Tamandua tetradactyla: one gene and its partners. The protein of the gene in region 2 interacts with the protein of the main gene of each other region in a pairwise test. Links are inferred from orthologs where the notes say so. Each region holds a gene or a part of one and is shown on either strand. Other genes may lie near its edges.

Region 1 (7,137 bases), on a different chromosome or scaffold from region 2:
TGATCTGGTGAGACACTAAAAAAAAAAAAAAAAAAAAGGCATGGGAGCAGATAATAAGACTAACCAGGACATAACTTCAGGCCACTACTGCTTTTCATATTTGTAAAGAGAAATCCTGATGTATTGTTTAAACCACAGAGCAGGATTTTCCGACCCAAGTCTGGATCACAAGATCACACTGGGAAGTCTCTCACCATACCTTCAATTCTGTATCACAAATTATTTATCACAAAGGCCAGATAGAGCTCAAGTTAGTTTAATCTCTAATACAGATTAAACCAACTTCCCTAACACACATAATGTGCATGATTTAATAAAATAATACTCCCTGAAAAAAAAAAGTTCTCTCCCTAGCCAATCCCTATCCTCTCCAGAAATTCTATAATACAAATGCCCAGCTTCAACAAAGGTCCTCAGAGTGCTACTTCAAATTCTATCTCCAATTTTCACTAAACATTTGAGATACAAGAAAAACATTTAAAGTTTACTGTTAATATTTCTACTTTGTTGAAAATAAATCTGTCTTATGTTAAAACAGTCACATAAGTCAAAGAAGAAAAAAATCACAGGAAATTTGAAAGGCAGATATCATCTTCACATCGAAAGGTATTAATGTTACTAAACAAAGGTGGTACACTCTCTGCCGTATGCGTTCAATAGACAATTCCTAAGACACGGGTTTCAAAGAGAGAAAAAAAATGTTGCTAGGTACGACGCAGGAGATCAGATGACCTATCCACCCCAAATCTGTCTCCCTGAACTGCAGTAATTCTGACAGTTTTATAGTATGAAAAGATAGGCAGGTTTCAGGACAATGTGCAGACTCATTACACGTTTAGTGAAAGAACATATGTAAGAAAATTGTGGCCTTAATATAATGATGGGCATGAATTTTAATATTACAATGAGGTACAGGTGATTTACAAGTTAAAATACAAGCTACTATGCATTCAGGCAGGCCCATTTAGGTCAGAGCCAGCTTCGGTTATCAAGATAACTTTAGATTTGGGGTGCATGCATTCTGGGCTGACCCAAGACCCTTCAATAATAAACGTGAGGGTTAGTGATCACAAGATTTTAGAGTCAAAAAACCGGATAAAATGAGTACAAGTGAGGGTCAGCCACAAAGTTTTTACAATCACAAGGGCATAAGATAAAGGCTATATATAGGCTCATTATCAGAGATCAAGGCAGATGGATTACAGTTCAGAGATTTCAGGTATCTCCCTCTGTCTACTCAAATAAACCAGAAAGAAAAAAAGCAATGTCTATATAACGATTCAGTAATCAAATACTTATCCCCTAAATCCTAACTTCTCAGGTACATTAATATCAAAGACTCTATCAATGTATTTCATCAAAAACTTTAAAGACACAACTTGAAACTAACACAGCAAGAGATAAACTTCACTCCCTCTTAGCAACAAAGAAGTTAAACTGAAAAGCTGCACTAACATTACCTACCGCAAGAGAAATATTTGGTGACTCACACACTCCCCTTTGATGTCAATTTTCTTTAATTTATTTTTCTTTTTTTATTTCAATTTTTAAAATTAAAGAGCTTGTGTTTTGGGGAAGAAAAAAAAGAAAAGAAATGTTTATCTTCATTTAAATCTCAAACTTCAGTTCCAATAAATTATAGCCATTTGCCTCCAGATGCCAATTTCAAAGTTAATTACTTTTTTCCCAAAAATTGTGAGTCATATCAAACATCTGATAACTATGAAATTTATAGCTTTAAAACTCAACTAAGATTTATTGAGTGTCCACAATTAAACAAGTACCATCTGAACTCAACCACAGAAGCTGAATATTACCTTTACCTCATCCTAGCATTCCCATATTTATACTTGTAAGTGTGGATTATTTTTCTCTCCACTTGGAAAAAAAAAGTGTTGTAAACACATTTTGAGAGTGCCACTATCACATAAATAGAACCTGATGAAGGAGGAAGGAGTGTTCTCTACCCCAACACCTCTCTAGTGACAATTTTTAAAAATGGTTTAGAATTGTTTAAATTTATTCTAGTAAAAAACAGACTAAATAAATAAACAAATAAAAACGAAAAAAATAATAAAGCAGCCTGAATCTTTACGTGCCAAATCTTTATTCGCAGTAGTAATGGAATAATAATTTTTTAAAAAGCAGATGGTGTGTGTATGATTTAAATCCTCAGACAATGTCAAGTTTTAAGCTAATGATTTCACACCGATCCCCATTAACTTTTCATTAATCTGGCTAACAAGAAATTGGCAGGCTGAGATTTCAGATCGTTTTATTTTCCAGGCTCTCCCTCTGGCGGAGGCCGAAGTTACGAAAGAGAAAGAAAGAGGGGCACAAACAACGGGTATGGTACGTTTATAAAAAGACAGAAAATCCCGAGTAAGAGATAACTGCTAGAAAGCAGACAGAAGAAAACGAGTTTTGTATTTTCAGCCCTGGAACAACTGTTCCAGAATTCAGCACTGCCTAGCAAAAGCTTCAGCATTAGTGCAAAGTATCCAGTATTACTCACAACCTTCTGCTTCGACATCCTCGGAAAGCAGAGGATGTATCCAATCTCAGTTATTAAACTACCAGGCAGTGCGTGAAGAGCAGGGCTAATACATTTTAAATAAGGGGAAACTGAGGCCCTCCAGAGCAATGAGAGCTCGGAACGAAAACTCCAAGAGTTTCCCAAGGCGGGGAGGAGCCTCTGCTGATGGGCAAAGCTGCCGAGTCGCCGCGCTCTTCTGCTCACTTTAAAAGGGGTCCTGTCCCAGGGAGTAGGGAGAGAGATCGCTTCCCAGAGAGGAGCCCACCGCCTTCTCCCCTCAGACATCCCGGACAGGACATCCACTTTCTCACTTCGTCTCCCCGCCTCGCTCGCGAAGGGACTAGCCACAATCCATCTCTTACCTATCCCCACTGGGTCCACGTCCATAGCGCGACGCCTCCATCACCCGCTGCTAAGTAAGTGGCAATCACATCCAGACTCGTAGACGCCGCTGCTAGGCTGGCAAGACTGGCAGGCAGCCGGGCCCCGCCCCCTGGCAACCACACCCTGCACTGTCACCACCGCCCATTGGTCCATGTGCCTACCGTTCCTCTCTCATTGGCTATTGCCGCCACCGGGATGCGAGAGGGTTTCTAAGAGGAGGGAAGAACTAGAGAGTTAAAGGCGCCTGCGCCGGAGCGGGGATGACGCGCAAGGGCCTGGTCCCCTGGAGCGCTGCGCCGGGAAGGGCTGCGTGCTGAAGGATGTTTTTGCCACTGCGCCGTTGGTTTCCCGCGACGGAGATGCGAGTCCCTTTGAGGAGCCGCCCAACCCCCACTAGCCACCACCCAGAGTGGCTTCCCGGTACTCCCAAAGACCACCCATGGCGCTGCCAGAGATCTGTAATGTAAGGACTTACAGACCAGCTGACCCTCTCACAATCTTTTTCCTTCCACGAAAACGAAGGCCTTCTTCTCAAACACGCAAGTACCCTCCTCAGCTGATATCCGCCAATTAAATCCATCTTTCCTTTAGTTTCCTGGCCTCACACTTTTCACCTGCTTCTCACATCTGCCCAAAACTTCAGCTTCTCCCACTCCAGCCTAAGCTTTTAGCTCATTCCTAGACCTGCTATACACTCTCCTAAAGCACAAGAGAATCCAGAAACTTTTCCATCCACCTTTCTCTCCAATCTATAGACCATCTTCAAACATCCATGTCCCATAATGGGATCCACTATCTAAAACGATAGCATTGTTTCCAATAAATCTTGTCCTCAACCATCAATTCCTTTCTTACCACCACTATTGTTGCACACTGACTAGTTTATTGCATTCCAAAGTCAAAGTTATTTCCACATTAATTTTGAATCCAGAAGTTGATTTTTTTAAGAGACATAGAACTTGACATAAGCTAGGAGAGCAGAGCATTGAACACTTTGGGTCAGTCTCCACTCATCCAGTGAACCTGAACATGGTTCATGATCTGTGCTTCAAATCCCCCTCTATAAAATAAGCAGAATAATAAGCTGGGCTGGATCTGACACAGACGAGATTCTTAATAAATACTGAGTGAATAGGGTTGAATGACATTATTTGTATGGGTAAAAGGACAATTGAGACATTTTCTTGACTGGGCAGCCCTTCTGCATTAGTTACAACAAGAAGTAATCATGTCTGAAAACTTTGCACTTTATTTTCATACATTTTAAACAGCTACAAGAAATCATTTTCCCATCCTACCTAATGTTTACAGATTTCTTTGGTGGGGGAAAAAAAATGTCAAAACCTAAGCAAGCCTAAGTAACTTGTCTATGTCTGTATCTACCCTGGTCCCACTGTATTTATGAAAATAGAACTTGTCCTATTCTTGCTCTTTCAGCAGATGAGCCAGGGTGCTGAGACGGCAGCTCAACTATAAAAAAGTCATGCGTTTCCTTTGATTTTTTTCTGCCCATCCAGTCATAAAGGAAGTTGCCACTGAGCGTGGCACAGAGTTGGTTCTCAAAATGTGGAATGAATTGGTCTAAAAGAGATAACGGATTAATGAGCAGTGGCTAAAGGAAATAAGAAAGACCTTTTGTGAGTGGGGCACTATTGCTGCATTACTGACAATGAGCAGCACAGTTCTCTGAAAACTTTCTGCAACCATTTATTTACATACATTTTAAAGTTAAAAGCCATTTTAAAATTAATTAAACAGTTAATATAAGAAAAATATGAAGTAAACTGTTTATGGCACTAAATCCAACTGTTTATGAAACAAGGTATTTTAAAAAGCTAATCAGGGAGTTTAATTTCCTTTTGGTTACAGGGCTCCAGTTAAAGTTGTTTTTTAATTTGGTGTTATTTCCATTTTATTCTATTGATGTACTCTTCCTGTGAGTCAGAAAAGTTACTTTAGCAACTCTATGAAAATCAGCAATTTCTTGTGTTTCTTAATAAAGAGGCTGTTATCTGATAAGTCAGTTTTTCACAAGGAACTGGCTTCTGCTCAGCTTCCCTCTGTCCCTGAGGTAAGCAAATAGGTGTTTCCGTCTCCTCCAAGTGACCTTTATGCCATACTTCTCTTCAGGAGTGTCTTTAACTAGAGCAGGTCCAGGCCCTTCATTCTTGGGAGTACTAGAGTGAAGGGAGCAGCTTGGAAGGCTGTTCTTCCTCTGATCTGGGTGAATGGGTTTTTTCACAGATGACTCTGGGGTCTGGATATCAGGTGGAATGAACACATAACCTGGACTTTGAAGTGCATGCACTGACAGTTCCCTACTACTTTGGGGGCTGAGCATTGGAACTAAGGGCCTTCCAGAAATGTCCTTTGCCAGTTGACTAGGGCCCTTCTTGCTTAAGGGGATCTCCAGTGTCACTGAACTGGAAGAAGACTGTGGACTCTCAAAGATTAGTTGTGGAAACTTGGAGGCGGCAGATTTGCGACTTGAATGTCTTGCCTGGTCTTGGTGATGACATTTCTGGTTGACTGGATACCAACTTTCTGCTGTCATGTCAAACTCAGGCAATATCTAAGGATTAAAAAAAAAAAGAGAAAGAAGTGAAGAGAACCAACTGCCAAGTACAAACTTGAAAGTACAAACCATAACCAGGAACTGACATCCAGTGACCAGAATCCTATACGGGGGCCGACTTTGGTAATAGAAATAGAAAAATAACAGTTGTCTAGTGGCATAGTAACAGAAAGGGATATGAGCTATGGTAAAAAAAAAAAAAAAAAAAAATCAATCTCTGGCTATTTCCTTATACTTAAGAAAGGAACAATGTCTCTTTGACTTCACACAATATGGCTGCAACTTTTAAAGTATCTTTATATTTCATGAGAGGAGGGACCAACAGCAGTCTTGTTCACATCACAGTCCCCAGAACCTAGTAGAGTGCCTCGCTCAGGAAATAATAAATGGCTGAATGCATGAATGAGGAACTGAGATCATGTATGTAAAACAATCAGCATAGGGTCTGGCACATAGTAAGTAGTCAATAAATATTCACTCTTATTTTCGTCCACAGAACTCTAAAATTTAAGTTTCTTCCACAATCCTCAAGTGAGTATTACAGTTCTTCCAAGCAGTCCTGGCCAAGTTTTATTTATTAGTCACTCTTAACTAAACAGAGCTTATGCTTTTGTCTAGCCCTTTTGTTATACTATTTCCATGCCATATAGTAGCTAATCCCTTATTCCAGAGCTTTTAAATAGTTAAATTATCACATATCCAATTTCTGTGCATTTTGTTTTTCAAAGTTCAATCCATTAAACAGTAAAGAGAATACCTGAGTACTCCACTTCTCATATGAAACTCAGGGAACAATATTCTTGTCATTTTTCTGGCTATTGGGTGGTGAAAGCTTTACACTGAACTCCTTTAGAGGAATGTAGGGGGAAAGGCAACAATTCTAACCAACCCATGTCTCAGTTTAAAACGAGAAAAAAAGAAGAGATGGCTGAAAACAGAAAGAATACAATGCTTCTTTGTCTTTTGCACCCCAAAAATCTTATTCTTTGGAGGTCCTTGTTCAATGGTTAGCATTCTGAGACACCTACTGGAGTAAAAGTCAAAATAAGAATCCTATGAACCTACCCAGGAAGTGATGGTGCTGTGATCAATAGGCTTGCTGGGCACCCGTTTAGTATGGGTGATGGGAAGCTGTGGGGATCCAGAGTGGTGTTTGGGGCCCTCCAGTGGTTGTTGCTGGAATAGCAGTGGAGCTTTCTGGGATCGTTGGCGGCGTTTTTTTCTGGGCGGCATCAACAGATGAATGCAGAACAGTTGGCAACCACATGATGCTGGTTGCAATCAGGTGGGGTGACAGGCTCCAATTCCAACCCATGCCTGTAGAGAAGAAACAAAAGCTGGGAGAAAATAATCCAGATAATTCTGTAGCTCTTCCTGATACCCAGGCAACCTATTGCAACAAAAACTACCACCTCAAAGTCATAGGGACCAAGCTTCCTACACCTATAACAGCAAGCAAAAATACAATGATTCATATTCAACAACATTAATTCAATAAAAATTTATTAAGCACATGTTAATAAACATTTATTGAACACATGTTAAGTACCATACAGGGTGTTGGGAGCCATTTATTCAAGACGCATTTGACTACCAAACACTTGTAGAGCAATATAGAGATCCCTGTTTTCAAGGAGCTGAG
Region 2 (8,009 bases):
TGACACTCTTTATCACTTGTCTGTGTATAACAGAGATCAAATTATTCCTTTCCTCCCCCTGCTTCGAGTCCACTCCACCTCACTCCCACGCTGACCTGCTGCAGATAAAAGCTGGCTATAGATAAACACTGTGTGGCCGCACGGACAAAATTCCAATACAGGCCTCCTAAGGGACAGAACCCCCACACTGAACGGCCCCACCACTTCTGAACCATTATGTCTGCTTTTCACAATTTTTCCATCTCCTTTCTGGCTATCAGACTATAAGTCATTAGTGAAATTGCCTCTAGAAGCTCAGGTCCCCCAACATTTATGATCACCAGCTACATATCAGATATTGTGCAGACTCCCTCCTGAATGCTGCCTTAGCGGGTTAAAGACTATGCGACCAAGCTTGTTGGAACTGCAAGGAAAATCAGAGTTCACAGGCCCCGACCAAAAGCCGGGGGCTTCTACGAGTAAGCGGTGATGCAAACTGTTAGGGACAGCAGGTTTGGCGACTCAGAAACCACATTTGCTTTCCTCCTTGCCCAATTTCACCCTGTGTTCGGGCCAGAAGCACGTGGTAAATGAAGTGCTGTGGAATGAGACACGCTCCTTCAGGGGTTTCCTTCCATTATTTAAAGCCTAGTGATTGTCAAGCAGTGCTCTGCCGGGCTGCAGGATGAGATGGCATTGCCTCAGGCTGGGGGGCACCGCAGGCTGGGCTCTGCCCCTAACCCACTCCACAGAAACACTGCATTGCAACTGAAATGTAAATGCTCCAAGCACCTAGACGGGCCCTCCTACCCCTCTGGGAGGAAGGAAAGAGAGAATCTATCCCCCATCTTGTGGATGTGGGTGCTGAGGCCCAAGGATCTCCAGGTGGAGGGTAGTCTGGGAGCTGAGAGCCCAGCACCACTGCCAGCCTGGCGGGGTCCGATCCTAGCTGTGGGACAAGAGACTTTGGTTCTCTCAGCCTCAACATCCTCCTCTGAGTGATGAGGATAACAATAGCAGCTACTCCATCAGGTGCTGGGAGGACTGAGTTAAAGTCTACACAGCCCTGAGAACAGCAGCTCACACATTAATAGTGCTCAGGAAATGCTACTGTTATCCCAGATCCCAGGCCAGGCTTAACATCATGGAGAGGTGCTAGAATTCAGAACTTGGGGGCAGGTGGTGCTGACAGTGACTTCTGAGGTTGCGCCCAGGCTTGGAATGGGAGGTACCCCCCCCCACCCCCAGCCTCTTCTTTTCCCCCTCCCTGCTCTGGCCTTCCCTAGGGAGGCGGCACCCTCACCCCAGGCCCAGGGAGTCCGGCATGGAGGAGAGGAGGCCCCTGGAGGCTCACAGCCTCTGGCGGGGGAGGGGGGGGCTCAAGCAGGATGCCACACAGGAAGCTGCCTCCAGGGCCCATTTCTTGCTGCTGCTGGGGCTGCTGCTGCCACACCCTGCTCCCTGACATCCCCTTCCCCCCTCCCCATGCTCACAGCCTACCCTGGGGGCAGCTCCTTGCCCCAGTTCTGCCGCAGGGAAGGTGGGCTCAGGGACTCTGGGCTGGGATAGATTTCCTAGAGAGAACAGTCTGGGTCTGCTGCATTTCCAGGCCCTTTTTCTCCCCAACCTTGCACTCTGGGGCCAGGGCAGCGATATGGTGACTCATTTCCTGGTCCCCGGAACCCCCTGTCCCTCCACCCCTTAGCTGCCAGCTGGGCAGGGAGCACCCTGGGGTTTGGAAGCCAGAGCTGCCTTCACCAGCTTCTCTGAGCTGGCTCCACCCCCTCTTTGTAGAGATGGGTAAACGGAGGTCCAGAGAGAGGCGGGGCGGCCTCCCCGGGCTGGGCCCTCTGCCCGCCCTGCGGCCAGCGCCGGCAGACAGCAGGCTATTCACTCAGCCTGGGGCGCTAAGCACAGCGTGGCCCGGAAGGGGAGGCAGCCAGGCCCGCTGGCTCCGTCCCTCCTGGCAGCTGGCCCCAGGGAAGGGCCCGGGGAGGGCCAGCGAGCCCTGTGAGGGGCGGGCTGGAGCTCTCCTGGGACAGTCACATTCCCGGCTCAAACCACAGAGGCCCCAGCTTCCCCCGCCCCGGGAGCCTCCGAGGACGGCGGAGCAGCAGGGCCCGGGGGAAGGGTGAGCGGCGGCTGCAGAACAGCGAAGGGGCCGGGTGGGGGGCGGGGGGCGGGGCGGCCCGGGCCGGCTGGCCAGGTGATCCGTGTCACCTGCCGGAGCGGGCCAGGTGCCGCAATCCCGTGGCGCCAGGACTTGTTTGATGCCTGCGCTGAATTTAGGAAAGTGAGCAATGAAGGGCCCAGCCCCCTGCTCCTCGGAGCCCGAAAGCCTCGAAGGGAAGAGGCTCTGCGTGCGGGGACCGCTTGTTGTGCCAGCGGGGGCTGGGCCTTCATTGCACAGAATCGCCCCGTTCCCTCCTCCCAGGCCTCTGCACAGGTAGGGAAGCCGGGGCTCTGGGACCTCTAAAGACGTCTTGCACAGACAAAATCTGACCCCAAGTTTTTGTCCGGTCCCCAAAGCTGTGATCCCCCCTTCGCCCCTCAAGCCCTGCACCCCTGCATTAGACTCTCCTAGAAAAGGTCCTGCCGGCGTGGAGAGGGTCTTCCACGTTCACAGACGGGGCGGTGACCCGGGGCACAGCCACGACAACGAGAACCACAAAGTGGTGGCCCCTGCTTTTTTTTTTTTAATGAGAAAAAGCTCCGCGGCGGAAGCCACATCCACGGGAAATTTCGGTGGGGTGGGGGTGGGGCTGGGGTCCTCCCCCTGACCCCCGCCCCGCGCCCCGGGCGGTCTCCACCTGCGCGCGCCCGCGGCGCCTTCACTCACCCAAAAGGCGTCTCTGAACTGCAGCTGGGGCGTCATCCCGGCTGGCGGCGGGGTGGGGGTGCCCGCGCCCCTGTCCCAGTGCCGGCCCCGGAGCCCTCCCAGCCCGCGCGCTCTGCAGCGGCTCCGAGGCGAGGTGCTGCAGGGAGGAAAGGGGCGCCACCTGCTCGCTGCGGGCCACGATCAGCAGCCAAATGAGGAAGGAGCCCATCGCGGGGAGGGCGGTCCCGGGGCGCACCCCGCCCCCGAGCGATCCGCGGCGACCCAGCGCGGGGCAGACCCGGGCGGGGAGCGGGCGCACCCCCGGGGGGAGGCGGCGCGCGGGCCAGGCGGGCAGGCAGCTGAGGCCGCGCCGGAGGGTTTGTGCAACCTCCCCCGGGCGGGCCCCCGGGCCCCCACCCACAGGAAGCGCGGTGCTCTGCAACCCCGCGCCCATCCCGCCGCCACCTGCCACGCTAGACTCCCCAGCCGTCGCCAGCGCACCGCTCAGGAGGGCGCCCCGGGCCTAGGCCGGCCATCGGTCATCAAACCCTGCTGCTCCGGCCAAGCCCTGGCCTCAAGGAGCTCATAGTCCAGACACAGACCCAGCTGGGCCAGAGGGGCGGGGAGGGGGGCAGACGTGGGAGCAGATGGGGTGAGCAGCGTCTAGCCTGAGACCTTATGAGACTGCTCACCACCCCCCCCCCACACCCACCCATGTCTGCAGATTAGACCCTCTCCTGGCATGGAGACCCTTCTGAAGATGGAGTCTAGAGAGAGGAGACAGAGAGAGAGAACTAGAAAGACACAGGGGTGGGAGTTTGAAAACAGGTGGCGGTCCTGTTTGTTTTGTCTGGGCTCTACCCTTCAGTGCTAAGGGACCTTCATCCACTCTCTGATTCCCCGGCCTCAGTTTCCTCATCTGTCACCCCCAGTCTTTGGAAAGGACAGAGTTTGGAGAGCATTTGTGGAATTTTCTGGAATGGTGGGGCAGGTGCTGGGGGCAGAGTCAGGTATGGTGTTGGGAGGAGCCCTGGTCTGGAGCCCAGGCTCAGCCCCAAGGACCCGGCACCCGCCCACCCAGCAGGAGATGCCCGCAGGGAGGCCGGAGCCCCGGCAGTGGCAGAGGGCATGGGTCAGGGGTTCTCCACGAATCCTCAGGCAGATGATAAGACAGAGGAAACTGCTCTGGGGGACTTGGCGAAGCTCCCAAGTACCAGGTACATAGGCCCGGGCTTTGGAGGGCAGGGGTATGTCCCAGAGAGAACGCATGGCACGGGCAGGGGGGAAGAGTCGCCGGGCAGTGGGGCTGGAGCTGCTCTGCCGACCTGGGACACGTCCTCCTTCCACACCCCTGGCCGGGTGAGCTGCTGATCAGCTTCAGCACTGAGGACCCTCCAGTGGGGTTTTCTGTTGTTTGCAGTGAGACAGCTAAGATTGTAAACCTCACCTTGAGCCCCAGAGGCTACAGCAGAGGCTGTGAGTCTCGCCCCAATGCACCATTGCCCTCTTAGCACTGACCCAGTCTCCCTGGGCTCAGTTTCCCCATCCATCAAATGGGATGATACCTCTAATTCCAAAAGTAGTCCGGAAACCCTCTGTTCATAGAGAGCCCTCCACTCTCTTATTGGCAGAAAACTTTGCAGCCAGCCTCCTTCCCCTGCCCCTACTGCCTCCCACAAACTCCAGCTCCCCTCAGGCCTCCTCTCTCTCCGCAAGGGCACCCTTTGCTCTCCCACCCGCACACTTTGCTCCATCGTGCCCTCCCTTCTGGCCTGCCATCCTCAATCTTCCTTACCTGGGCAAACCCTCCCATCCCTCAATGCACCGGAGCCCTTTGACTCTGCTCCACCCCGATGGGTGCTTGCTGGCAGTGGACTGGAGCAACTGGGGGAGGATGTGATAGGAGGAACAAGTGGAAAGATTTTAAAGTTCTCTGCAGAGAGAGGTCCCTCCACCCTGCCCTTTTGCAGCTGGCAACCAGAACAGGCAGCAACTGCTTTGGAGCCCTGATGGTGTGTGCAGTGCACCAATGAGCTTTTTACAGGGCCTGCCTCATTCACTCCTCACCCAAGCCTGCAGGCCGCTCTCTATTCTTATTCCCCATTTCGCAGCCAAGGAAACCAGTGATCAGAGTTTATATGACTCAGCCTCACAGCCGCCAAACCCAGGACTGTCACCTCCAGTTATCTCACACCAACAGGTCTCTGTTAGCAAACGGTTTTGTCCTTCCTTTCTCTAGGGCTGTGCCCAGAACCTGTCACCCCACCTGACGGATGGAAAACCTAGCCCAGGGAGGCTGTTGGGGGTTGGTGGTGCTAAGGGGATGAGAGCCCAGCCTTGGCACCTGGTCTTCCAAGTTCACTGTGGGGTGAGGTTCCTGGCACTGAGGAATTGTACCGTCCCCCTCCCCCGAGGGCTCCGGCGGCAGGACGCCCCCTGGGGGTGTTCTCAGGAATGCAGCTCAGTCTCTTGGCCATTCTCCCCCTTATGTCTCCCTTTTCAGCTGGTCCCCAAGATGCTACAACTGCTCTGGGCTCCAACTCCAGACCAGGCATGTCTTGAGTAAGAAAAGGGGCATCTGCCCTTATGTCTCATTTTCTCCAAGCTCCCAGAAGACCTCCCCTTGTCTCTCGTTGGCCGGAAGTGGGCCACATGCTCATGCTCTGCCACCACTGGCCGCAGGGATGTGAGCCCTCGTTGGGGTGCTATGGGCACTGGCCATCTATCTGCCTACCACAGGTGGCTTCTTTCCACCGAGGCCCACAGACCCGGGCAGCACCCCAGATCAGGCCCTGCCAGGACTGGGGAGCAGAGAGGCCAATCCAGTCTCCACCCCGAGGGGCCCACGGACCAGCCGACAGGTTCTAGAAAGATCTCTTCAGGTGGGAGTGGCTTGGAGAGACAGGCAGAGGAGGGGGTTGTGATAGCTCTCAGAGAGGGACTAGGCCTGGACGGGGCAGCTGGGGTGGGGGTGGGGGTAGCAGAAAGGAGGCGGCTGCATGCCCCTTGGAAACGGGAGCTGTTCTTTGCCCCTACCCTTACCAGCTGCCCTACCCTCAATCCAGCCCCCCAGCCCCCTGGGGTCAGGGTGGGGACAGTCAGCTCCTGAAAAGTACTACTTTTTAGCAACTGTTGCAGCTGCTTCAAGCAAAATTTGCCTTGAGGTCTGGGCAGTTGTGCCTCAAGTCCAGGCTTGTGAGCCCACTTTTTTTTACGGGGTGGGATGGCGGTGGGGGGAGTTCCCCAAGCAGGCAGAGGCCCATCCTCTTTTGCATGTTATTTAAATCCATCTGCTTGAAGAATTTAAAAAGCAGTAGGTTGAAGATTACAGAATAAAATACAAAACCAATTATTGCAACATTAAACACCACAGTCAGCCGCTGGGCTCAGCTGCAATCCACCATCTCCAGCTGCATAACTAAAAACTTGTAATTCTAGCCGCTATTTAGGGATATGCCTTTCCGTGCTTGTTCTCATTGATTGCTCACTGCCAGGACAAGTTTCAGAAGGCCAGTGTGGGGACTTAATTCAAAAAGAAGGGAGAGAAATGCCATTACAGGTACTAAAATGTACAACTTTCCTTTCTTCCACAGCCTCTTATCCTGCTCTAAGGGCCTCTCCTCCACACGGTAACTTCTCACGTAGAAGCAGCCCTCCTTCTCCACCGATGACTTCCTGCCTGGTAGACTGGGCATGTGTCCACAGTGGGACCATGGGTTTGGCTCTCAGCTTTTCAGCTGTAAAATGGGAGGTATTTCTCCTCACCTGCGGGGCTGATGTGAGGGCCCTGTGAGATGCTGCCTGTAATTCCCCAGCTCAGAACCTGGCCCACAGGGGGTGTCACTCTCCTTACTTCCTTTTGATGTGAGGCACTTCATGCATTCCACGGTTCAGAATATTGTAGTGTTGAATGGGTGATGATGGATGGATGGATGGATGGGTGGGCGGACAGGTGGATGGATGATGGATGGAAGGACGGATGGGTGGACGGACAGATGCATGAGTGGATAACAGAATGAATGATTGTGCCGATCAACAGATGGATGGGTGGAGAGACGACAAAGTGCAGAAAAGCCTGAAAGCAAATAAATGCCAACTTGAAGGAAATTTAGCGGAGTCCTCAGTGGCTGGAGATGTTTTCAAGAGAAACTGGTCTCAGGGATGAAGCCGATGTCAGACAGGAGAGCAGAACTGGGTTTCTAATTTGTAATCTAGAAAAGGTTGGCGCCCTTCTGAGGAGGCAAAGAGGCTGAAGAGAAGGAGCATCTGATAGCCCCGTGGTGGCCTCTGAGGAGCCAGGAGTCCCTGCCATGAGTTTCACTTGGGAGCAGCATCGCCACTGATCTAAGAGGCGTTTGTTTTGTTCCTCTCTTTGCTCGAGTCCCATCTGGCTAATACCTTCTGTTCTGCAGACAGGCCAGGCGACACGCGACACGCGACACTGGGCACTCTTGGCTCCTTCCTCGGGGGAAGAATCTGCCCTGAAGGAGCAGCCCTGGACCGGTCAGTGGATCCTGGCTAGAGCTGTGAGCCGACACCGCCACGACACTGCCCGCGGCCCTCAGGTTGCCTGCCCCACCATGGCTGAGCTGGAAAGTTCCCGTATCTCACCATAGTGGTCCACTGTTCCCGGGGGAGAAGCCTGTAGGGTCCCCCTAGGTGGCCAGAGGCATGTGTCCGCTGAGCTGCAGCTCCCAGCCTCAACCCCACCCAACAAGCCCCTGCGCGATGCAATTCCACCAGCCCCTGCTGAGCCTCTCTGTCTGGAGACATGGAAATAAAGAAGGAATTTCCAGAACGTCAGTAGTAAATCTGGGGACTAGTCACTACTGGGGACATGCCAGCCTCTTCATAAGCACTTTACTTGCCTTATGTTTCACCTAATGCTCCTATCCCTGTGTCTTATGGTCCTCATTCAACAGATGAAGAGACTGAGGCTCTAATAGGTTAGTCAACTTGATGGAGTCCCACCCACCACTAAGGGGGATCTTCTCTTCCCCCAGTTTAGGGCTGGGGGTGGCGGGCTGGGGCAGGGCTGGGGCAGATGCCAGATGAGGAGGAAGGGGAAGGAAAGGAGGTGCCCGGCTGAGGGGAAGTGAGGCAGCGAGGGCCGGGCTGGGGGGAGCGGGCGGTGCGGGGGGGTGGAGACTCAGCTCCTGTGTGCGACACCAGGAAGCAGTCGTGCCCTGGAGTACCCTCCCCCGCCGTGGGG
Region 3 (7,621 bases), on a different chromosome or scaffold from region 2:
ATCATCTTGCTGTACCAGGCCATAGCGTCGTAGCAAGTCTATATGGATTGGTTAACTTGGGCCAAGGGTCCAAATTGGCAGCTGTGGCTAAAGACAGGCAGGGTGATCAATTTTCCTGAGAAGAATGTTGTGGCCTAGGTAGACTATTCTGAAACTTAGCTTATCATATGCCATTTTAAAAACCTCTCAAACAAGATCTCTTTTTCCCTTTATTTGCCTATTTCCATGAATGATATTGCCATTCTCCCCATCACATGAACTGAAATTGTAATAATATTTTAATTAAACAGATTTAATTTTGTTGGAAAAATAATTCATGCACATAGTAAAATATTCAGAACATAAAAGGGTATACACACTGGTAATTGTCTCCATTCTTCCAAAGAGCCCCAAGGCCCCCCAGGGGCAACCACAGTTAACAGGTTTTTTAAAGTATCCTTCAGAAAAATTTTATGTCATGTTCAAGCATTTTAATCCACACTTTAATTTTACATAAATGGAAGAATACCATAAAACTATCTGTGCCTTGCTTTTCTCATATAACAAGTAGCTCTTGGGCCCTAATCCATATCAATATATGTAGATCTACTACAGTTTTTCTTTTTAACGGCATCACAAAACTTCATTGTATATATGTGATTTTTATCCAGTGCTTTTTCGATAGGAATGTTATTTCCAGTTTTGCCCTTACAAATAAGGCTGCAATAAGTACCTATGTTTGCACACACCTGATCTATAGGGTAAATTCTGATGAGAAATTTTGAGGTCAAAGCATGAATTAATAATTTTGATACATTTATTTCCAAGATGCCCTCCAAAGGTGTTGTGACAATTATTCTCATCTTCTGTGATGAGCATGCCCATTTTCTCCAACTTTCAAAAGTTTCGTGTTCTGCCAAACACTGTGATCTCTGCCAATTTGGTAATTTCAGTAACTTTAAATTTGATCTACTTTCTCTTAGTTACCTGGTTTTGTGAATGCTTCCAAAATGTCTCTCCTCTTCATCTGCCTTTGTATTTGTACTACTACAACTTTAGTTTCACTTTTGCTGCTTCATGTATTGACTCCTGATAGCTCATTCTATACTTTTCCATTATTAATTCCCAATTTAACAATAAATGATGCCAAATTAATATTTTACTAACTTGCATAATTTTACTTATATCCTTAGAAACCTTTGGTGGCTCCTAATGCCTACAGAGTTAAGTCCAAATCCCTTAACCAGGCATTCAATGCTTTTCAGAGTCCAGTCCATCTACTTTGGAACCTCTGTCCCCACACAAAAGTTCTGCTTCAAAATTTTGCTTTGCTGTCTTCATGCTTTTTGCCCCATCACTGCCCTTATTTGGACTTTTTCCTCCCTGGTCAAGCCTAATTTCACTTATCCTTCATGGTTAATCCTTCATCGTTAAACTCTTGGTTACTTTAAGTCATTCTCTGACAACCTAGTCCACAGTTCTCTCTCCTCAGACTTCTTGCTGCTCTCATGGTCTGTAGCATTCATTTGACATTTATTAACCTAGAGTAACCAAGAGTTTATTGTCTTTTCTATCATCTGAATTAAGATATTAACTCCTTAGGAGAAGGAGCCATCCCTAAAACATTTTTTGTCTCCCACATACACAGTATAATTCTTCCCATATTGAGGTGCTCAAAAAAAATACCTGTCTGTTAAAACAAGTCCTAAGTATATTAAACAGGAGAATAAACTAGCTAGATACCAAAGAAGTACACTGCTAATTCTTTCAAAAAAAGTAGAAATCCAAGAAGGTACTTCACATTTGTTTTCCCTAATCTACAGCAGATGGCAAAAGTGTCTGCTGAGAATTCACGAAACACTCAGGTGTTACTAGAGAGAGAAACTTTCCAATAAGAGGAAAATAAAAACAAAGGAAAAAAAATTAAGAAAAAACTCTAGTCAACGGACATTGGGAACTTCTCCTGGAGCTCGTGTGCTGTATTTGCTAAACAAGGATCACTGATGTTGTCTCCAATGCATCCAACAATGAGCTATCCACACCAAGACTCTGGTGAAGTATTGCATTGTGCTACTGACAGCACACTGTTAAGGTAGTGATATATGAGTCCCTCTATGCACTAACCCTGGGCTACAAAAAGGGGCCAAGCTGTCTTTTGAGGGGGAAGTGAGTTTAAACAAAAAGTGATCAAAGAAAATTCAGAAGAAATATGATGAAAGGAAAAAGATCAGCAGTGTTCTGTAGGGGCACTTCCAGCTGAAGAAGCCTCTTGCATGCACTGCTTCCAGGCCAGGCTGGTGTGGTGGAGCAGATGGCTTTGTGCTGGAAAGCAAGGAGCTGGAGTTCTATTTGAGGAAAATCAAAGTCTGGAAAGGCAAATAAATTCTCCTCTCTCCCATCCTACCTTATGTAATAAAGGTGTTTATTGTTCTTAAAACAACAACAAAAAAACTAGCCAAAATAGGACTCATGACCTCTGACAAGCAACACTTCTCATCAGACTGTCACTAGACTGATAAACAACTTCTTCAGCATAACTAGTCCTTTATCTATCTGGTTTGTACAGTCTTTGACATATCAAAAGTGGAGGCACGCTTGCTGATCTGCCTGCTTTTTTGTCATTTCTCTCTAAGTTCTGGGGGGGAGAAAAGAGAGTATCTACACTGAGTTATAATGTAAGATGATCAAGCTAGATCCTGACCTTTACCCACACCTGTGAAATCGAGTCTCAGTAATTGGTTGAAATAAAACACTCCAGATCCTTGTTTCAAATAATATCTACCTTAGAAATTAAACTACTTCTGTAAGTGATTTTTTTTTTTTTGGGGGGGGTGCATACTTCAGGAATCGAACCCGGGTCCCTCGCATGGAAGGTAGGCATTCTAACCACTAAAATACCCGTGCACCCTAAGTGAATTTTTAAAATACAAAACTATATCTTTTTTACATGCATATAAATGCATGAGAAGAGATTTGGAAGAGCACACAACTTCTAAGTGCATACTTCTGGGGAGGGGTTGCATTAGTTGATTTTTTTTTTAAAGATAAAAATTTTTCTTTAACAAAAGGAAACTGTATCTTATTACTCTCACTTATCTTCTTCAAAGAGTTTCTCATTAAATTCCATGATGCCTCTAAACATTCATTTGGGAAAAATGACCTGCCACTGTTATTTCTTATTTAACCCAATTTTCTGAGTAATCCGATCTGTAAAGAATGTTGTTTGAGGGTTTAAATGACCAAAATACGTCCACGGATCTAATCCTTCACTTTTGTCACATTATCACAAGTTCGCATTGCTTAGAGGCAATATGGTATCGTAATGAAAGCAAAAGGACTTGAGTTCTAGTGTTATAGCTCTGGTAAGAACATGCTGGAGGCCCCTTAGTAAATCACTTTATTTGGTGAGTTAGACCAGAATGGATAACCTCTGGTTACTAGAATTTTAAAGACGTACAAAGACTTATAAAGTCTATTCTATGGAGAAAGTCTCTCATGCAGTTCTAAAATGCTGTCAATTTAAAAAGACGACAGGTTCCTTTAAACTTAGTAAACAGTGAGCCCCTACGACATGCATGGTATACATTAGGACGCATTACGATTCTCAGGCGCTCACTTGCCAGAGCTTAGGTGGATTTGTGAAGAGAAAATCCTTTCAATCAAGAAGCGTTTCGCTTCTCTTAGCCGTAAGAATCCTCCAAAGTCTTAGGTTGTTAAGGCCTTATAACAGTGAAGGCAACATACCTGCTGTGAACGTGGAAATGGCATTACTACAGTTCCCAGCATGCCTCTTTCCACCCCCGCCCCTGGAAGCCAGCAGGCCCGGACTTAAAACGGTGGCGGAGCCAGCGTCGAAGCATTCTTGTAGTAATCTGCTTCCCCCCGCCCTCTGCCCTGAGTAAGCGGTGAGATCGCAAGCTCTAATTAACATCATACTCCAACCCATGAGACTTAGTCCTAAGAAGAGTTCCCTCCTATAGGGTAACCAACACTCTTTTAAGGTTTTCTCAGACCTGGGCGCTACCGGGACGGGGCCACGCCCCGGAAGTGGAGTCGGGTCGCTCACCAGATCGCCGAAGTTCCTTCCAGCCACTCCAAGCCGAGCCGCGGCGCTGGGCGGGCCTGGGGGCGTGGCCTTGGAGGTGGGGCGAGCGGGGGCGTAGCAGCGCGGCGCGGCGCTTGGGGCGGAGCCGCGGTGCGGGGCCGCGCGTTTGGGTGGCGGCGGGGGCGCGCCGTGGGGTAGAGTCGGCTGTCGCTGCTAGTGGTAGTGGTAGTGGTGGTGGTGGTGGTGCGGGGGGAGGAGAAACTGGGGACGGGGGGAGTAGGGCGAGCGCAGAGCGGTGTTCCTGAGGCGGTGGCGGCGTCTCCGGAGGAGGAGGAGGGCGGGGAAGGAGGATGGAGCAAGCTGGGGGCTGGGGCTGGCGCTAGCCGCAGCACCTCGGCTCGTTACTGTGGGAAAGCGGCGACTGCTCCTGGAAGTTGTGTCGGGAGCCCGGCCGGGTGCCGCCGCTGCGTCCCCTAGGGCGGTGGGGAGGAGGAGCGGCGGGGATTGGCGGGGGTCGGGAGGGAGGAGACGCGCAGCGGGAGCGAGCTGGGGAAGACGGAGCGGGCTCTGCGCCGGGCGGGCGGGCGGCGGCGGGGGGGCCAGCGACCGCAGCCAGGGGGACGCGGGAGGATGGAGCAAGTGGAGATCCTGAGGAAATTCATCCAGAGGGTCCAGGCCATGAAGAGTCCGGACCACAATGGGGAGGACAACTTCGCCCGGGACTTCATGGTGAGTCTCTCACCTCGCTGTCGGCTCCTCTCGAGGCCACTGAAGCCCACCGCAGCCTCGCCGGGCCGGCCCGAGCCGCCAGCGCTTTGTGTGCTGCTGTGAGGAGAGGGGCAGAGGGGGCGCGCACCAACCCCAGGGGCCGTCTTGGCCGGGAGCCCGGCGGGAGGTGATACTGCCTCCGCCCCTAGGTCTCCTTTCCCCCTCTCCCGCGTTCGCGGCCCCTTCCGCGGGCTTCTGAGGCGCGAAGGGAGCGGCCGCTGGGCCGAGTCCTAACCCGGCACCGTTTCCTGCGACCACCTATTGTTTCTCGGGCCTGGAGCCGGAGGCGAGTGAGGTGCTGACCGAGAGGACTTGCCTTTCCACACCTCCCCACCTAGCCTGCCCTTCCCAGGAGGGTCGAGGCAGAGTGTCGGGCTGTGTCCGGGGTGGGGAACCGATCCGGCTGATGGAGGTACCAGATTGTTGAGGTCGGCGTTAACTCGTGGGGTCATTTTGCCCAAGCAAGTCTCAGAGGTGGGCAAGGTAGGACTTCTGCCTTGTCTGGGTTCGCAGTTAATGTCCAACGCTTGCAAAAAGGTTTTCCATAAGGAAATCGGGGTTCTTATAATTTTCCATTTATCCCGGTCCCATCTCTCCTCTCCTGAGACCCAAGTTTGAGGTGGTCTTAGGATCCGTTTGACTTTAGGTTGGGGGGGGGGAGTGTGTGCGTGTGTGTGGGGGTATCCTGAAGGAAGCCTACTTCGGACACCCTAGGGGATATTGCCAAAGGCGGAGGGGATGTGACTATCACTTCCTATCCGGGGTGGGGGTGGGGAGCTTGGGAACAATAGTTCTGGCGGGGCGGAGGCGACTATCTGGGCTGAAGCCCTGAACTGGGAGATAACCTTCTCAGCCCCCCGCCCCTTTCCGCCTGCTGCTCCTGCGGGCGGGCTTATGAGGTGAGGGTTAAAGTCTTGTTCGTGAACTTGCTCTACGATACTTCGCTGTGAGGGGAGGCAGATCCGAAGGCGTGGGACCAGAAGTCGACTTCCTATACTACATCCCCCCACCCTCCACCTTTTATTTTTCTGCTGGACAATGTTCCCTCTAGGGTTGTTTCCCGGTTTTGGAGGCGGTGGTTGTGGCTATTGCTCCTACGGATATTGCGCAAGACTGGGGCGTTGGAAACCCTGGAGGTCTGGGGATGGAAAAGGAAGTGGGACTTTGGGAAGTGGTTGCTTCTTAGCCTTGGCGGGGGTTGGGGATGGGAAATAAGCCGGGGAAAATTTAGCCTCTGGATGAGGTACACCTCCGAGAATAATCCTTTAACTCCGAAATTCGATTATAAAAAAGATACGGAGCTCAGGTGTAGAAAAATGAATGGGCAGCTGACATTGGCTGGTTTTTGTTTCAAAGTACAGTTGTTTTCAAGGTGCAGGTGAAGTGACATTTAGTACTGAAATACTTTATAACATTTTAAAAAGACTTTAGTCTAGAAGCTTTAGCGTTAAAATTGTTCAATTTATAAAATAGATCCTTGACCTTACATAGTATTATAATATTGTTGAGCTTTGTGATTCCTACTTCTCCAGGTAAGTAGTAGAGGACAGGAATAAGGTTTTGTTAGTATCTTTTGAAGACTGAAAGACAGAAATTAAATAATTTGATTATGTGTTATTTGAGACATTTTCTCTTGCTATGTAACCTAAATATTTTTGAAATATTACTTTTGATCTGAAGGGGGTAAAGAAAGGAGTATTTTCTCCCCTAACTCATGAGAATTTTTATTTGTTGATATATTTCAGGTGTCATTTTCAGTAATTGGTTGGTGTTCCCTTTTTATTATTCTCTAGCAAAAATAGAAGAAAATATTTACTTGGAATATTTAAAACATTGTAAACTTAAGTCTTGGAAGACTAGATGGTATAGACCTTGACTGGCCACTTGTTTGCATTCTAGCCATATTGTTTTCCCTGGATGCTCTATCCTGTCAGAAAAGAGCATTGTTTGGTTTGATGATGCAGGCCAGGACAGGTGTGCAGACTGTGAGCTACTGTACAGGGGACTTAGCCTTAGGATTCGTGCTTTAGGGATGAATCAGGAATTCTTATTGGAGATTTCATTCCTTGAGGATTAAATAAGTTTCCTTTTTATTCCATAATACCTAGAAATAGCTAGGTGATTCTGCATTTGAGATTTGATAACTGAGGCTATTCTTACACAGTGTTGTGTGTGTGTGTGTGTGTGTGTGTGTGTGTTGGGGGGGAATTACCTGACTTATAGTTTAAGCAATAAGCTATAATTAAGGCTGTACATAGTGCCATTTTTTCCTTTGACTAAAAAGCTGGAGAAAGACATCTCCCTACCTCTGTCCCTTTGTCATGGAAACAGAATAGAGGGTAGGGCTCATATTCTGTGGTGTTATTCTAAATTCTAATGCAAATCAGAAATTGTTTTTAAATTTACTTTGAATATTGAAAACATCTTAAACTGAAGTCTTATTATGGTTATGGAAGAATAAATGCTATAGACCTTTAGCATTTTAGAACTGAAAGAGGTCATAGAGGTTATCTAGCTATTACAACCCCGTTCCATTATAATATTGCTTATTATTTCAGATTTACAAATTATAGAATAACAATTAGTTATGTCTTATGCTTAGAAAAGTAGCATACCAGCTCTGTCTGACTACCCAGTCTTTCTATAGTCTACCCGACTACCTCTGATAATGTTTTTAGTGCTTCCATGTGTCAATACTACATATACCATTATATGTTATTCATTACCTAATATTTTGGTAAATTTTTTTATTAATGCAACTGCTTTGTAAAAATTTTAAATGGAGTATAATATTTCATCTGATGATTTATTATACCACAACCTTTTCCT
Region 4 (6,958 bases), on a different chromosome or scaffold from region 2:
CTGGCCACAGGGTCCCCAGGGAAGCATGGAGAGGCAATCCGATCCCTTCCTGAGGGTCTTTCTGCTCTAAAAGCTCCTGATTCAGGACATTCGATTGGGTAAGAACTACAGAAAACGGGTCTTGTGGCCACAGTGCTGAGCGAGGGACCTGGTTCTCAGTTAGTACTTTAGGGTGACACGCAGGGAGGCAGACAGGAGTTGGGGGTCACGATTTTGCTACTGAGGGGACAGGAAGCTGCCCCGAAGCAAGACCTCTAAGAACCTGCCCTTCTTCCCTCTTCTGCTGCTTAATCTCGTCCCTTTACTCTGTTTCACCGGGAGTGTTAGTTTGGGTAAGAAAAATGGTTCAAGATGCTAAGTGAAGACACGCCCCTTCAGTTGCAGTGAGGGTGGTAAGGGAGGATGAGTCTTGGACCAGATTTTTCCCGGAAATCACACACACTAAATCAGGGACTGCACCCTCCCTCAGTGCTTGGGGGACCCACTTAGAATTTAAAAGGCATTAAAAAGCGACACATGTTCAATTGAAAAATATAACAATATCAACAACAAAACAGTAACCATTATCCATCCCTCAGGGATCAATGCCTGGAGGAAATCCTTCCAACAGACACACACACACACTTGTTAAGGAAAAAAAAAAGTGACTTTACTGTTTTTTGGTTTTTTTCTTTGTAACCTGTTTTTTTTACATCCCAGTTTGTCCATATGGTGAGTTACTCACCCAATTTCCTTCTATTGACTATTTAAGCTGACAATTTTTGACATACAAAAAATGCTGCGGTGTATAAACTTATAACCAAGTCTTAGGATGTCTCCATCATTATTTCCTTAGGATTAAATCATAGTTGTGGATTTGTTAGGACAAAATTTAAATAAAATGTTTTTGATGCTTCTGATTCAGACTGACAAGTTGGCAGCCAGAAACTGCGTCCCTATTTGCATTTCTCCTGACCGTATTTAAGAATGCCCTTTTCCCCGCAATCATCAGCACTGTCTGTATATTTTCATTTGTAAGTTATGAAAGATGAAAAATGTATGACATCTATGTTTAAATTTACATTTCTTCGATTATTAATAAATTGAGTATGTTTTCATAGATTTATACTTCTATTGTCTTTCTTTTTTTGTGAATGTTCCTTTCATGATCTTCACCACATCAAGTTATCGTCTTTTCTTTCTACGTTCATAACAGAATTTTAATTTGAAGGATATGAACCTTTATCACATATCCCACAAATAAATTTGTCCCTGTTAGTACTTTATCTCTTAATCTTTTTTATGACTTTCTTTTAATTAATGAAGTTGTAGGTTTACAAACAAACATGCATAAAATACAGCGTTCTCATATAGCACACTATTATTAACACTTGTATTAGTGTGGTACATTTGTTGTAATTCATGAAAGAACATTTTAACAATTGTACATTAAACATAGTCCAAAGCCTCATTGGTTATACACGGCTCATTGCTTGTGTTTATAGTTCTATGTTTGTTTTTTAATTTTTATTCTAATAATATATATGCAACCTACCATTTCCCTCCTTTTAATCACGTTCAAATACATAATTCAGCGCTGTTAATTGCATTCATAATTTTGTGCTATCTTCACTACAGTCCATTACCAAAGCTTTACAATCGACCCAAATAGAAACTCTGTACAGTTTAAGCATTAATTTTTTTACAAACAGGTTTGCAATTTTATGTAATCAGACTTATATCAATCCTTTTCTTATTCATGGTTTCTCCTCTCCAAGCCACGTACCTCATGCTGTTTTGAGTTAGATATGAGAGGGACAGAATGAATATTTCTAAAAGAAGAACTGAAAGCTGTTTTCCACTTATTCCATGAGAGCTAAGAAAATGAGTATGACTGCTGAATTATTATATCGACATTTTTTTTTTTAGTCTCCAGTATCTTGGAGTAGCTAGAAGGGAAATTGTGAAATTATAGAATTATATCCCATACCAAACTCTGAAATCTGTTTTATAATTACATGTTACAATGTACTTTGAAATTCATGGCTTTTTTGTATGTATGTTATATTTCACAATTTAAAAAAAATGTGTTCAAACGTCACAGAAGTTGATAACTTTATGTATTATCATGTAATTTATCAAAGGTATCATTCCATGTCTTAATTTTGTTCTTCTTCATTCTATTTGAACTGTTATAGAATATTTCATAAACTGAATATACCATAATTTAATTGTTTGCAAATTTTTGTTACTCAAAAATGCTACAACAAGCATCCTTGAACGAAACTTTTGCATGTTACACAAACATTTGTATAGGACAGATTTCTTGAACTAAAATTACTGGGTAATTTTAAATATATAATTACTGGGTAATTTAAAAATATATATATTTTAAAGTTTAGTGAAAATTGTCAAATTCTGACCCCTCCCTGGAGATAATGATTTACACTCACTCCAATATTGTATGAAGGTGCTTGTTTTGCCCCATATTTTTGTCCATAATGTAAATGATCTTCTCAGTTTGCCTATCTGATGGTTAAAAAAATGGTATTTTGTACTATTAGACACATAAATATAGGTGAGGTTAAACTTCTTGTATGTTTATTAACTATTTATATTTCTTCTATAAATTGTTCATTCAAGTCCTTTGCCCATTTTAAAAACCAGGTTCTTTTTCTTACTGATTGATAAGGAACTATTTCTATATCTTAGGTAATAATTTTTCACATAGACAGAAAATATTTTCTGTCATGTCTTTTCATTTTGTTTACTATATTTTTGGCTTACATACACTTTGAATTTTCATGTCTGTATTTATTAATTCTAGAAAGTTAATTTTTTATAGAAAGACCTTCCATATGCAAAGAAATGAAAATGGATTTCTATATTTCTTTTGCACTCTTATAGTTTTTTTGTTTTCTTAACATTTAAAACTTTAATCCAACTGTTTTTCTGTGGGTGATTTGACAGTTAGGAATTTTCACATAACCGTGAGGTAAGTATTTCAGTTAGGCTTCCCTTTACCCAATGGTAGAGATCCTTTCCTTCGACTTAATTTCATTTCCTGGACTTTTTCAGAGATAATATCCATAGTTTACCTGAAATTGACAAAAAAAAAAGCACAACTTTTAAGATTTTACTCACTGTATCCTAAAGAATTATAAAACTGGATATTAACTTTGGAAATGTGTCGTTTTTACTTTGGAAATCTGTCATTGATGTCCCATGACTGGGGTATCTGTGAATCTTTCGCCGGGAGCATCCATCTCTGTCTCACTGTTTCTCTTTTTTGTATTACAAATTTCCTTTCTCTCTCTCTCTCTCTCCCAGTTCCCTTTCACTTGTTTTTCTCTCTCCATATCCATCCCTTTCTCTTAACCATCTAAAATGTTAATTGTCGTAAACGTTTTTAAATCATTAGTTCGGGTTGTTTAATAGTATTTCATAGTTTTTATGCTTCTTTGGTTGTTTTGGAACAAGTTTTTGTTTACTTAACTGTGGAAATTACAATAGAGTTGTAAAATGTATAGTGCAACATAAGATTTGGGGACTCCAAGCATTTATAGCTGAGAATCAAGTCATATTTGTTTCCTTTTTTAAATCACAAAAACAATTTTAGAACACTCCAACATCGTAGGATACTCGCTTGTATTCTGCTAGTCACTGACAAACATTTACTCATATTTAAATGACAACACAGTAAAGTGGATAGAGGACGGGCTGGATGGGAGAATGTGATCCCTCCTTTACTAAAGGCTGCTCCTGGGTGATTTATTAGCCTCTCGGTTCCTCTTTTCTTCAGTGGGGATAATGAAACCCACCCAAGATTTTTGTGAAGCTCCCAACATGATTAGAAAACACATATTCACGAACACACCTGCTTTAGCAAAGGAGAGCGTCAGACACATTATTTTGCTGATTCTGTTTGTGTGCGCGCGCCTGCGTGCGTGTATGTGTGTGTGTGTGTGTGTGTGTGTGTTTGTTCTACACTCCTGTAAAAGGACCTAAAAAAAGCGGGGCACATGGTTAAGCTCTCAGGGCGTGGGTTCCACCAGTCCTGCTTCAATTCTTTTTTTGCAAGAAGAGCTTAGAATCACAACAAGGAAACTAACCCCAAAGATGAACCTCTCATGTGAAATTTTCGCCAGCTTCCTTCTGATTTTCCATGTTTCTGCCAAAGGTAAGTTACTGTGTGGGTGTCTATCGTCACAGCTAAAAGCCTCTTTGGAGACCCTGTGGCGTGTGCAAGAGTTGAAGAGACCACAGCCCAACCTGTGTTGGCAGTGGATCTTCAGATCTCAGGAACTTTCTTGCTTTTCACAGGTGCAGTCCCTAAAGAGGTCTGGGGTGCCCTCGGCCGTGAGTTCTACTTGAACATTCCTGATTCTCTAGTAAATCAGCCGACGGGTGATATACAGTGGAAAATTGGAAATACCAGGATTGCACGATTCACGAAAAGTAAAATAACTAGCACGTACCCGTACGAGGTGTTCCCGAATGGAACTCTGAAAATTAAAAATCTGATGAGAAATTACAGCAATACCTACATAGTAAATGTATATCATGAGAATGGAAAACATGTGCTGGAAAAAGCATTCACGTTGAAGACTCTGGGTAAGTCTTTGCTTTTTAAATTCCTCCATTTCAGCAAGGGTCCCGTTTAGCAAGTTGGTTAATAATGTTTATGGAATGTCCCCAGCACTTCCCTTGGCCTCCTGGGGAGCTGTAAGGGAAATCTAAAGTACGTCTCCTGTCCCAGTGGGGACCACAGGCTGGTGGGAGAGATGGAATCCACCCATGTGGAAATAAACAGTTGATGGGCCTTCAAGTTCAGCCGCCTAAAACTCTCCGGTGCCTACGGGGATGCAGGACTGGTTCAAGAACATGGATTAAGGTGGCGTTAATCAGAAGGAAGCGAACAAGTGAACAGAGAAAAAGGTGGCCGTCCCAGGTGCATGATGAGCCAAGCAGTTAGGGGTGCGGGGAAGGGAAGGAGCGGCTCGGTAGAGAGCGGCAAATTTTCAGATAGAAAATTTCAAGCCAGGTGCCCTAAAAGGAGTCGTTCTATGGCAGGAAAGGGCTGGAAACAATGACTTTGAGGAGGCAGGTCCTTGTTGCTGTCCTCCCAGCATCAAAGTGGTTGAAGGTGGACAGAGATTTTTGCTGATGCGTGTTAAAAAAGAATACACAGGGTGTGCCTTTGTATGTCTGCGTTTTGGGAGGGCAGGAGTGGTCACTGAAGATGAGGGAGGAAGACCAGCCAGGAAGGTGCTGCTATAATCCAAGTGAAATGAGGAGGGGCTGGCTAGTGCTTCTTAACCATGTCCTTTAGAATCAGCTGGGATGCCGTTAAAAGTTTTCGGCACCCAGGCCCAACCACAGTCTGGTAAAATCAGAATTTCTCAATGTGCAGCTTGGGCGCATTTCTAAAATGTCCCCGAGGGATTCTCATAAGCAATCGAGGTTGTCAACCACTGGCTTAGACTTTACTTTTTGGGTGCCTGTAAAAGGAGGAAGAATGAGCCTACTGAGGGTCGGGAATGGAAAAAGGATGGACAAGATGCTTTGCAGGATAAACTGAGGAATGAGAAAGAGGAATTGAAATGATAACAAGGCTGAAAGTCCAAGGGACACTGGGTAGGGAGCAGTAAGGGGAAATGAGAAGATGACCCGACACTTGGCTTGGAGAGGAAGGCAGGAATCCAGCCCCAGCAAAGACTGTGATTCAGTGAGCAAACAAACAGCTCTGTACTTCACACAGGAAATGCCACCCAAGGCAGGGGCCCTTCCTCTTCTCTGGGGTAACACTTTCAGGCCAGGGCTCAGCCTGGGGACTTAACAGCAGCCCCACTCCGACAATCCCAGAGATTGTTGGGACCCAAGCAAAGGGCAACTTTTGAAACCCTAGTCCTGCCCCCTCGAATGGAAATATAATCTAGAAATGGTGTAGGGCTGAGAATGGAGCCAGAAGGGGCTCCTGTTTAGGACTCTGGGAGCCACAGATCCTACACCTCCAGCCAGCATGAGCTCAAGGGCCCTGTTAAATCAACCAGAGCCATGCTGGTGCTGTCCAATTCATGCCTCATTTCATATCAGAGTGACCACAATGGCTACCAGTAGTTGATGCCACTAGATGTCAGGGGCTTCATGTACATCATCTTATTTAAAGCTCAACAACAACCCTAAGACATAGTTATTATCCCTTATTACCTATAAAGAAGCAGAGACTCAGACAGAAGCAACTTGCCCAAGGTCTCATAAAGACCAAAGAACGAAGCCAGGATTCAAACCCAGGGCCCCTGTTGGCAGGGATGGTTATTTCTAACTTTATTTATTTATATAATTGTATGGCTCGAATTCACACGCCATACAATTCACCCATTTAAAGTGTACAATCCAGTGGTTTCTCGTATGCTCACACAGTTGTGAGAACATCACCACGATCAATTTTAGAATAGTTTCATTACCCCCAAAAGAAACCTCATACCCTTTGGCGGAAGAGGAGTGACTCTCCCATGACGTAATGAGCACCTTGCTGTTTGCTGGGGGTGCATGAAGATCCCTCAATATCTTAACTCGGTATGGGGTCCTGTCGCCAATACTTGCTCATGGGCTTGAGCGGAATTCTTGATCTGCTCTGAATGTGGTTTAAAAAAAAAAATACTGCAAAAGACATTAAGGGATTTAATGAGACAACGTATGTAAATGTGCTTTGCCATGCGTGGGGCACGAGACGTGTCTGCTCCACGAGAGTGCCCTCCCCCATCTCTTTGTTTCTCCATGCCTCTTGTGGCTTTAGTCACAGACCCCAGCTTCCCTGCCCCTCTCTAATGGGCTTCATAGTTTCTTGCTGAAGAGGTCTTGGAGGGCACCTTACAGGTAAATGGTATGCTCAGCCATGGGAAGGTCTTAATAAAGTGCTCCCCTTTGACCCATCCATGCCTCTTCTAGGGAGCCCCCTTACAGGGAGGCTATGAAC

What was found.
Region 1: the proteins of PSTPIP1 (region 2) and TULP3 interact in binary tests that used the Homo sapiens proteins (3 or more experiments, as listed by UniProt). The two-hybrid records come from large-scale screens. The link is inferred for Tamandua tetradactyla from reciprocal best matches to the Homo sapiens genes PSTPIP1 and TULP3.
Region 3: the proteins of PSTPIP1 (region 2) and PTPN12 interact in binary tests that used the Homo sapiens proteins (3 or more experiments, as listed by UniProt). The link is inferred for Tamandua tetradactyla from reciprocal best matches to the Homo sapiens genes PSTPIP1 and PTPN12.
Region 4: the proteins of PSTPIP1 (region 2) and CD2 interact in a two-hybrid assay, tested with the Homo sapiens proteins (2 studies listed by BioGRID and IntAct). The link is inferred for Tamandua tetradactyla from reciprocal best matches to the Homo sapiens genes PSTPIP1 and CD2.

What each region holds. Positions count from the first base shown.
Region 1 is NC_135333.1:65,027,683-65,034,819, reverse strand, and holds the start of TULP3 (tubby-related protein 3), read right to left. Parts: upstream 3,017-7,137; 5' UTR 2,940-3,016; coding exon 2,899-2,939; intron 1-2,898. Other genes in the region: RHNO1 (RAD9, HUS1, RAD1-interacting nuclear orphan protein 1), read right to left, coding at 4,941-5,492, 6,561-6,728. UniProt on the Homo sapiens protein: Negative regulator of the Shh signaling transduction pathway: recruited to primary cilia via association with the IFT complex A (IFT-A) and is required for recruitment of G protein-coupled receptor GPR161 to cilia, a promoter of PKA-dependent basal repression machinery in Shh signaling.
Region 2 is NC_135340.1:89,855,729-89,863,737, forward strand, and holds the start of PSTPIP1 (proline-serine-threonine phosphatase-interacting protein 1), read right to left. Parts: upstream 3,012-8,009; 5' UTR 2,855-3,011; coding exon 2,819-2,854; intron 2,426-2,818; coding exon of another isoform or gene 2,269-2,425; intron 2,111-2,268; coding exon of another isoform or gene 1,776-2,110; exon of another isoform or gene 1,743-1,775; intron 1-1,742. Other genes in the region: uncharacterized protein LOC143656381, read left to right, coding at 1,776-2,110, 2,269-2,425, 5,301-5,359, 5,537-5,679, 6,391-6,548, 7,210-7,413. UniProt on the Homo sapiens protein: Involved in regulation of the actin cytoskeleton. May regulate WAS actin-bundling activity. Bridges the interaction between ABL1 and PTPN18 leading to ABL1 dephosphorylation.
Region 3 is NC_135327.1:140,471,609-140,479,229, reverse strand, and holds the start of PTPN12 (tyrosine-protein phosphatase non-receptor type 12), read left to right. Parts: upstream 1-4,605; 5' UTR 4,606-4,654; coding exon 4,655-4,753; intron 4,754-5,143; exon of another isoform or gene 5,144-5,275; intron 5,276-7,621. UniProt on the Homo sapiens protein: Dephosphorylates a range of proteins, and thereby regulates cellular signaling cascades. Dephosphorylates cellular tyrosine kinases, such as ERBB2 and PTK2B/PYK2, and thereby regulates signaling via ERBB2 and PTK2B/PYK2.
Region 4 is NC_135337.1:4,206,767-4,213,724, reverse strand, and holds the start of CD2 (T-cell surface antigen CD2), read left to right. Parts: upstream 1-3,958; 5' UTR 3,959-4,098; coding exon 4,099-4,159; intron 4,160-4,302; coding exon 4,303-4,593; intron 4,594-6,958. UniProt on the Homo sapiens protein: CD2 interacts with lymphocyte function-associated antigen CD58 (LFA-3) and CD48/BCM1 to mediate adhesion between T-cells and other cell types. CD2 is implicated in the triggering of T-cells, the cytoplasmic domain is implicated in the signaling function.